2 linked regions of the Oryzias latipes genome follow. The protein of the gene in region 1 purifies or fractionates together with the protein of each later gene. This does not show direct contact. Links are inferred from orthologs where the notes say so. Each region holds a gene or a part of one and is shown on either strand. Other genes may lie near its edges. The genes, in order: ube4b and ubl7.

Evidence for each region.
Region 2: the proteins of ube4b (region 1) and ubl7 purify together in Homo sapiens (affinity purification with mass spectrometry; 3 studies listed by BioGRID and IntAct, counting the BioPlex papers as one, with this or other methods). This does not show direct contact. The link is inferred for Oryzias latipes from reciprocal best matches to the Homo sapiens genes UBE4B and UBL7.

Annotation. Positions count from the first base shown.
Region 1 is NC_019865.2:9,902,440-9,906,261, forward strand, and holds part of ube4b (ubiquitin conjugation factor E4 B), read right to left. Parts: intron 2,298-3,822; coding exon 2,156-2,297; intron 1,918-2,155; coding exon 1,817-1,917; intron 1,536-1,816; coding exon 1,421-1,535; intron 1,176-1,420; coding exon 1,092-1,175; intron 1-1,091. UniProt on the Homo sapiens protein: Ubiquitin-protein ligase that probably functions as an E3 ligase in conjunction with specific E1 and E2 ligases. May also function as an E4 ligase mediating the assembly of polyubiquitin chains on substrates ubiquitinated by another E3 ubiquitin ligase.
Region 2 is NC_019861.2:28,019,501-28,023,422, reverse strand, and holds the start of ubl7 (ubiquitin-like protein 7), read right to left. Parts: upstream 3,095-3,922; 5' UTR 3,005-3,094; intron 2,668-3,004; 5' UTR 2,665-2,667; coding exon 2,487-2,664; intron 2,369-2,486; coding exon 2,249-2,368; intron 2,165-2,248; coding exon 2,079-2,164; intron 482-2,078; coding exon 397-481; intron 320-396; coding exon 262-319; intron 192-261; coding exon 64-191; intron 1-63.

The sequences.
Region 1 (3,822 bases):
CCTTCGCATACAGCAGCCATTCAGTTGTCTATCTGTTCAGCTCATTGAAAAGATGGTCAGTGCCTTTAGCAAAATGCAAATACATTTGACACCTGCATTGTTTTGGTTTGGTCTTACAGACTGAATTCTCAAAAGTGAAAAAGAAATGGAAGCAGACCAAACCACTTGTTACAAATCTCACAGTTCAGCTCATTCAGAAGTAACGGGCCAAAAAACAAACTTTGACCAGGAAGGAAAAAAAGTACAAAGAAGAATATCAGCTAGTCCCACTATTCCTCTGACGATCATGTTCGTATAAACTCTGGCACATCCTAAATGCACTGCGTTGATAGAGAAGCCATTTCATCTTTTTATGATTTTCACATATGGAGACTCACTGTGAGCTGCCCCCCCCCTTCTCTTTAACACACATGACACCAGCTACATCTGTTTTTTCCACTGTTTGATCCTCTGCACATTGAATAGACAGAGCATTCAGAGTTAATATAAGATTAACGTCTAGAAACCAGGGTTTGCCCATTTGATTCTGCAGAGTTCACACAGGCTTTCACAAAGTGGACTTTATGTTAAAACGACTGCTCATGTGGATCAAACCTGCCGGTGTAAATCCACCCTTAGAGTGGAAAATGGTCAGAACTTTATATTACATTTTACTCTAAATCGTACAACTCCTTCACTGTCTCATATAGACATGGCTTTTGTTAAGCAACCTTCTGTGCCGACATCCCAAAAACCTATTTCTCAAAATGTAAAAGTACATTTAACAGTTTGTTGTCTCTCCAAACAGCTTTGCCTTACACTGCTGAGATAATGAATGCACTTTCCAACATGTATAATTTGAAATGAAAACTCATTTTAATGTAGTCATTTGTCCTGACTTTAAGTAACATCAAGTCCAAAAATAATATTTCTTTTTAAATCAAAAGGGAAAAAATAGCATGTCAAAGTTATAGAAAGTTAATGCATTTTCCACACCAAGTGTTATTGTACACTAAACCCTGATGACTCACTGAGAAAAAAATGTTACATGTTGTATATTTACTAAGATGTATTCACCATTAAGAATTGAAAAGAGCAGCAAAAAGTCTTACCATGAGTGGAAACTTAAAGTTGTCACTGTCAAAGGAACATTCTTTCATTGCAAGTGCAAGCCCATGGATGATGGGAATAAAGATCTGAAAGGTAAGCAAGACAGCATTGTTGTAGTTTATTTAGCCTTAGTATTTTTAGAAAAATGTCTGTCATCGTTTTGCAACTACCACGAATTACTTTGCAAACACAAATGTCAGAAGACATCCTTAAAAAACAAAAAAGAATTTTGCTAAAAATGCTCAGTTTGTGCATTTCCTCCCACAATTTCATCAAAAACTGCATTGGTCATGTTTTGAAAAGGCTACAAAAATCCAGACGTGTTCCTCACCTGTTTGAACAATTCTTCCTCCTGATGGGTAATGCGCACGAGCTCCTGAATAAAGCCGAATGGAAGGTTCCTGCACAGCATGTAAGGTACCAGCAGAGACTGTTGCAGGGGGCTCCTACACATTGGAAAAAGGTAAATTAAAAGGCATAAAAACAAATAACTTGGTGAAAAAGTGAAAGAGCAATTACTATGGAAACAGGGAAGAAAAGGAATAAAGCAAAATGAGGCATCGGGAGCAAAAGTCAACACTAGAAAATTAAGGTTAAACATATATATATATATATATATATATATATATATATATTTCTTTTGACTTGATTTAGAATTCTGTTGAACCAATTTTCTTTTTTAACAAGGAATGAAAATAATGTGTCCCAGCAACTGTAGTTGTCTTACCGCGGTTGGGTCAGGGTGCCCTGCAGGACCAGAGTGACATGAGAGATGCACTGAGAACGAATGTTACTGAGAAGCTGGCTGACATTCGGTTGACTACACATCTGGAAAAGAGAAAGTTTGTGTTAATGCGTTTACCTGCCTGTGCATAAAGGGGTATTAAATGGATTAAGGTTTGGATACAGAATCTCTCAAAAGACACTGAAATAAACCCAATACTAATTCTTTTACTAAGAGAGTTGCAGCTAATCTCTCAAGACAATGTACTCTCTTGAGAACATCTGGTTCCAATTTAACAGAGGCTGATTAATAAAATGTTTTCTCTTGCAGACAGCAACCAACCTTGGGAGCTTTTCTTTCCTCCATGCCAACACTGTCAAAACGCTCAATGAGGTAGTTCAGCATCTCTGTCTCTTTGCATGCCTCAATGGTGAAGCGGTCGCTGGCTGCATCACAAGACACTGCCCCTCCACATGCACCAAGACTACAGAGGGGAAAAGCACAACAACAAAGAGACAAAATAAACACCAGAAAAGGCCAGAGCCCAGCAGGATGCCCAATTAGCATCAGATATATTTATCATCAAGCGGTTATCGAGCTCAAACTCAACCGGGAGCATTTTAAATGAAAGCAAATCCATCAGACATTTCAGCAGTAGAACCTCAACAAAGAAAATTGTTATTACCGTACTTGACGGCTTGCTTGAAGAGAAAAAAAAAGGAAAAACCCCTTACCTTTTCACAGTTTACCAACATGTGCAGTAATGGTTTCACTGCTTTACTGTTAGTGGTTAGCTAACTCCAGCATTTGACCTCAAAGAAAAACTTCCAGCAGGTAATATGATTAACTGGGTTATTAGCAGCCTATAAAGCAGGGGTCGGGAACCTTTTTGGCCAAGAGAGCCATAAACGCCACATATTTTGAAATGTAATTTCGAAAGAGCCATCCAATAATGTGGTGTCCCTTTACCACACGGAGGCACGGAGACTTAACCTCTTTTAAGGTTCTTTATTCTGGTTACTGCAGACCGCGACAAACGCCGTACAAATACTTCAGCAACTCCTTAATCTCTCCCGCTGAGACGAGAGCGCTTCTCCCAACTTTATATTCCCCCCCTCCTGCTCCAGCCCTCCCATTTCCCTTATTTGGCCCATGGCTGAACACCATTGGTCCAAACTACCTAATAACAGGCTGAGCGACAGAACTGAGAGCCAATCAGATGCGTTCAATGAACTTCAGAACTTTCAACGCGGCCCAACAGCCGCTCAGTCCGCGACAATATGTTTAAAACTAAAAATACAAATGAATGTGTGCATTTTATTTAATTTCAACATTTTTAAAGGACAATAAGTCTGTGGATTCTTTTTAATAACATTGTTATGCTGTTGCTAATAAATGATGAGTATTTCTCGTGGTAGTTCTGCTGATGGTCTAGTCTGGTTGATACGTGGTGAGTTTCTTCTTCATGCAGGCGTTGAGACTTTAAACGTGATCTTAGGTCTGAATGTTCTGTAGATGTGAGACAGACTGATCACATGCAGATACGGAGCCAAACACACACTCACGCTACAGTGAGTGACGGGCAGTGGGTTTTACGTATTTACAATCCCTGCGCGATTCACCTGCTGCCTGTCCCCACAACACCTCACCCCCACCCTCTGCTTTCTTCCTCTAACATCCCGTCCCCGCATCTGCGCACTCTTTCTCAGAGACGGGAGGGCGCACTTTTAGGCACGGCAATTCACAGGTTTCCAGGTGGTACAAACTCTGTGAAATAATAGATAATAGTAAACTGATAGCGCTGGCGCAGATTTTTCTCTCTAAGCACCGCTACGACTGCGCGCTTCTGGCATCGCATCGCGCCCGAGAAGGACTGGTCTAATGAAAAAAAAAGTATAATTAAAGATTTGTCTGCGAGCCACATGTGACCATCAAAAGAGCCATATATGGCTCGCGAGCCATAGGTTCCCGACCCCTGCTATAAAGCAATACCCCATTTACACTGAATT
Region 2 (3,922 bases), on another chromosome or scaffold:
TGCTGAGCGGCTTCACCATCAATACCGTCTGGAAATGCCAGGAGGTGAACTCTGCTGGCTCACCTGGCATCTCACTGTAAGAGCTGGCAGAGCGGGAGGAGCTGGCACTGGACTGAGTCGGCATGCTTCCTGCAACTGAATGCAGGACCAGGATGATGGCGTTGACCAGTGCCGGGTGGGAACTGGTTAACCTACCAGACAGACACGACTGTTAAACGGAAGCTTGTGGGTCACCAGAGGACACTGAGAAGTCCCACTCACACTTCCAGCATGTTTGGATCCGTGAACTGCACAAAGAGATCCTTATCCTGAAGCACTCCTGAAGATTGAAGGGGAAATGTTAGCATTACGATGCACGAAAGATATCCCACAGGAAGTGGCTGGTCCAGCTCTCACCTAAAGCGACCGGGTCTGACCTGAGGCCGGGTGTGGCTACAATGATCTGATCCAGAGACTCCTTATTCGTCAGCATTTTATAGACCTGAGAGTTCAGAGCAAACACAGATTTTTAGAAGCCGAGTGCTCCCATTACTGCCATGGAGCTCCGCCAGCCTTTACTGTCAGAGTCTGATCCAGCTGAATAACCAAACGCCGGCCGGGATTTTGTTCAGCTACAGCTATAAAAAGCATTGGAGGTGATCTAATCACAGCCAGACTGCGGTGAAGACAGGTGTGCGGACAGCCAAATGGAAAGGAATGTAATCACCGGAGCCAAATTCCTTTGCAGAGTCAAAATATTAGTAAATGGAAGAATCCAACAGCAGCTGCTTTGGTTTGGATCCAAAACGTCCAGAATATTTGACTCCCGAACAACCAGCATTCAGAATCGGACTGCTTCTATTCATGAAGCATTTGAGTTCCTGTCCTCTGGTTCAAAGTCTAGATGCTTTTAGTGTCCAAACAAGAACAAAACAACTGATTTTACTGATTCCATTTTGATTCCAACTGAATCTTTTTACACCACGTAAATGCAGAACAGGCTGAGGTTTTGATGATTTTCAAAAAATTGTCTTCAGTGCTAAAGTTACCAGTTCAGCCAAAAACACCAAGCAAAAGATCCTGCTCACCACCAGATCCTAAAATACAAAACAAGTAAGATTGTTCAGATTCAGAAGCTTTTAGCTCTTTTATGTATAAGTTGACTTATCCTGTCTGGGGTCGCCACAGCGAATCAGCTTTCACCGTTTCAGACAGGTGCTTTGGCAGAGACATAACTGTTCATCCATATTTCTATTCAATATGTGCAACAAACGGCTTCAAATGTGCTCAAAAAAAGACAAATATGGGGAAAATATATACATGTATAATAATAAGTAAAAATAATAGTGATTTAAGACAAACAGTGGAAACCTTGGGGAGTAAAACGAAACCATTGAACGAGAAATGATCTCCAGGTGAGACATTAAATGAGAGTCCATCACTGCAAAACTCAAACAAACCTGTAAAAACATGCTGTAAAGATTTCTGGAATTCTACAAAACAGATTTTAGGTGATCTTTTTTTTTGGGATCAGTTTTTAATGGCAAGACCAAAAAAATGTTGTGGGTTCCAGCGCTCCGAGGGCTGCTGGGATTCCAGTCCTCCCTGATTCTGGCTCCGAAATCCAACTTCTGTTTGGTAGAATCTCATATAGTTTCATCATTTGAACAATTTTTTGCCCATTTTTTAAAAAAAAAAAGTAAACTGTTTTGCCATCTCTGCTTTGAAGCTCGGTTTCTCACACTTGTGTGTAAAAACTGAGCAGGAAGCGTTAGAATTGTACAGTTATGATTTTTCCATCCAATCCATAAGATTTATGGATGTTTCCAAAACATTTTCTACAATTATTAATATCATTCAGCGAATTCCAAAATATACCCAATAGTTTAAAATGACAAAAAGAGATTTTTTTTTATTTAAGTTCTTTTTAGAGCCTTGCTAATTTTAATATAGACTTTTAGTACATAAATAAATAAATAGATTAATAAATCTTTGTGGTACTTTTGTTATCAGAACATGTATTAGGAGCTTTGTAGGCTATGTAGTGAGTAGTGAAGGAATCGGGACACAGAGTGGGTCTTTGTTGGTTATGGACTCACTGCGTCTCTGTAGGCTGAATTGAGCGAATGCAGAGCGGCGTGGAACACCCGGAACTCTCTGGCTGCAGTCACTCTGTTCACCGGCTCTGCAAAAACACAAATCCGGAGCCGAGGTGTCGGTGATGGGGAGAGACTTTCAAGAGCTTCTGACCGCAGCAGCAGACACGGACCTGGACTGCTCTCCGGCTCTGGCCATGTCTTCTTCAGAATGTGTACTGTGGATCCCGGCTGGACCCCACAGGCGTCCAGTGTCAGCTCGTCCTTGAGCTTTCGCCCACAGTGGACCAGCTCTGGGAAAACAAGGAACAACAAGTTATACACACACACAACAACAACAACAACAACAACAACAACAACAACAACAACAACAACAACAACAACAGGCAGCCATTTCTGCTGCTAACAAACCTATGAGTTCAGGGTCTGGGACGGAGTCTGGCAGCTGCGCTGCTACAAGCTGCTTCAAGGTGGCGACTCTGTATCCTCCAGGTGGGACATCTCCGGGCATCATCTCGGGGAAGTGAAAGGTGGATTTGGGCTGGTCCGCCAGTTTCAGAGACAAGCGCCAGTCTGAGGACGCCATCATTGTCTGCGCAAACAAGAGCAGGGACATCTGTTTTGAATGCCCCGTTAGCTTAAAGCTAACCCGAAAATGTGTGCCTTTGCTTAAAGATGCATCTTTTTGTCAAGTGACTTTTAAAACAAGTTTACATGTTTAGAGAACATTTACAATACTAACAATTACCTAAACGGTTGTTTAAAAAATGAACAGAGGACAGCCGTGTAGTGACGTTTTTTCTTAATTAAACATTATTTTGCTTCTTGTGAACATTTCAAATAAAAGTTTCCGAACATTTTATTTATTTATGTATTTAAAAACTGAACAAGAAACAACCCTATGAATAAAAAGAAAGATGCAGACTCACCGCTCTGTTGACACTCGTTTCACTTCCGGGATTTGTAATCACGTGACTCGTGTTGCGTTCACGTCCACTCCACGAGCAAAGACCTTTTTTCTTGTCCCATCGCTTTCCTGTTCAACCTTTCCACATCTGTTGCACATTCGTAAATCCCCATGAACACTTTTCTGTCTAGTTTGCCACTTCCTCTAATTTTCTTTCACAGCTGTTTCTCAGCGGTACTTCATAAAAACGAGCCTACGAGGACATATGGGTTAGTAGTATGATCAACTAATTACGTGCCAAGTATATGTCCTTTGTGTACCTTTCCTTGAATATTTTTAAAATACTTTTTATGATGTTTTCATTGAACTGCTGCTTTATTACCAATTTAGTTTGTAATTCTGTCCTCATTGCACAAATTTTTCAAACACCATAAATGTGTCCTTCCATGTTTCCTTAATCCCATGAAGTTTCATAGATAGATAGATAGATAGATAGATAGATAGATAGATAGATAGATAGATAGATAGATAGATAGATAGATAGATAGATAGATAGATAGATAGATAGATAGATAGATAGATAGATAGAATTTATTCCAGACTCATGGTCCAATCAGTAAAAAGGAGTACACAGACCCACCACATTTAAAAAAAAAATACAGTGTCAAGAATACACAGCTGAGGTACAGTGTATAGTTACAGTTCATAAAAAAGTTAATAGAAAATACTTAATACAAACAAATTAATTAAAAAGGATAAGAATAAATACCAAGATAAAAAGATTACATATACATACTACACTGTAAAAACCTTAATTACAATGACAAGTAAAAAGACAGTCCCTCCAGTGTTTCCATAAATTTGACCGGAAACGTATTGCACTAAATCTAATGTTGCTTATAGCCAAGATGAGAGTGTTCTCTGAAGCGTTTAATCTGCA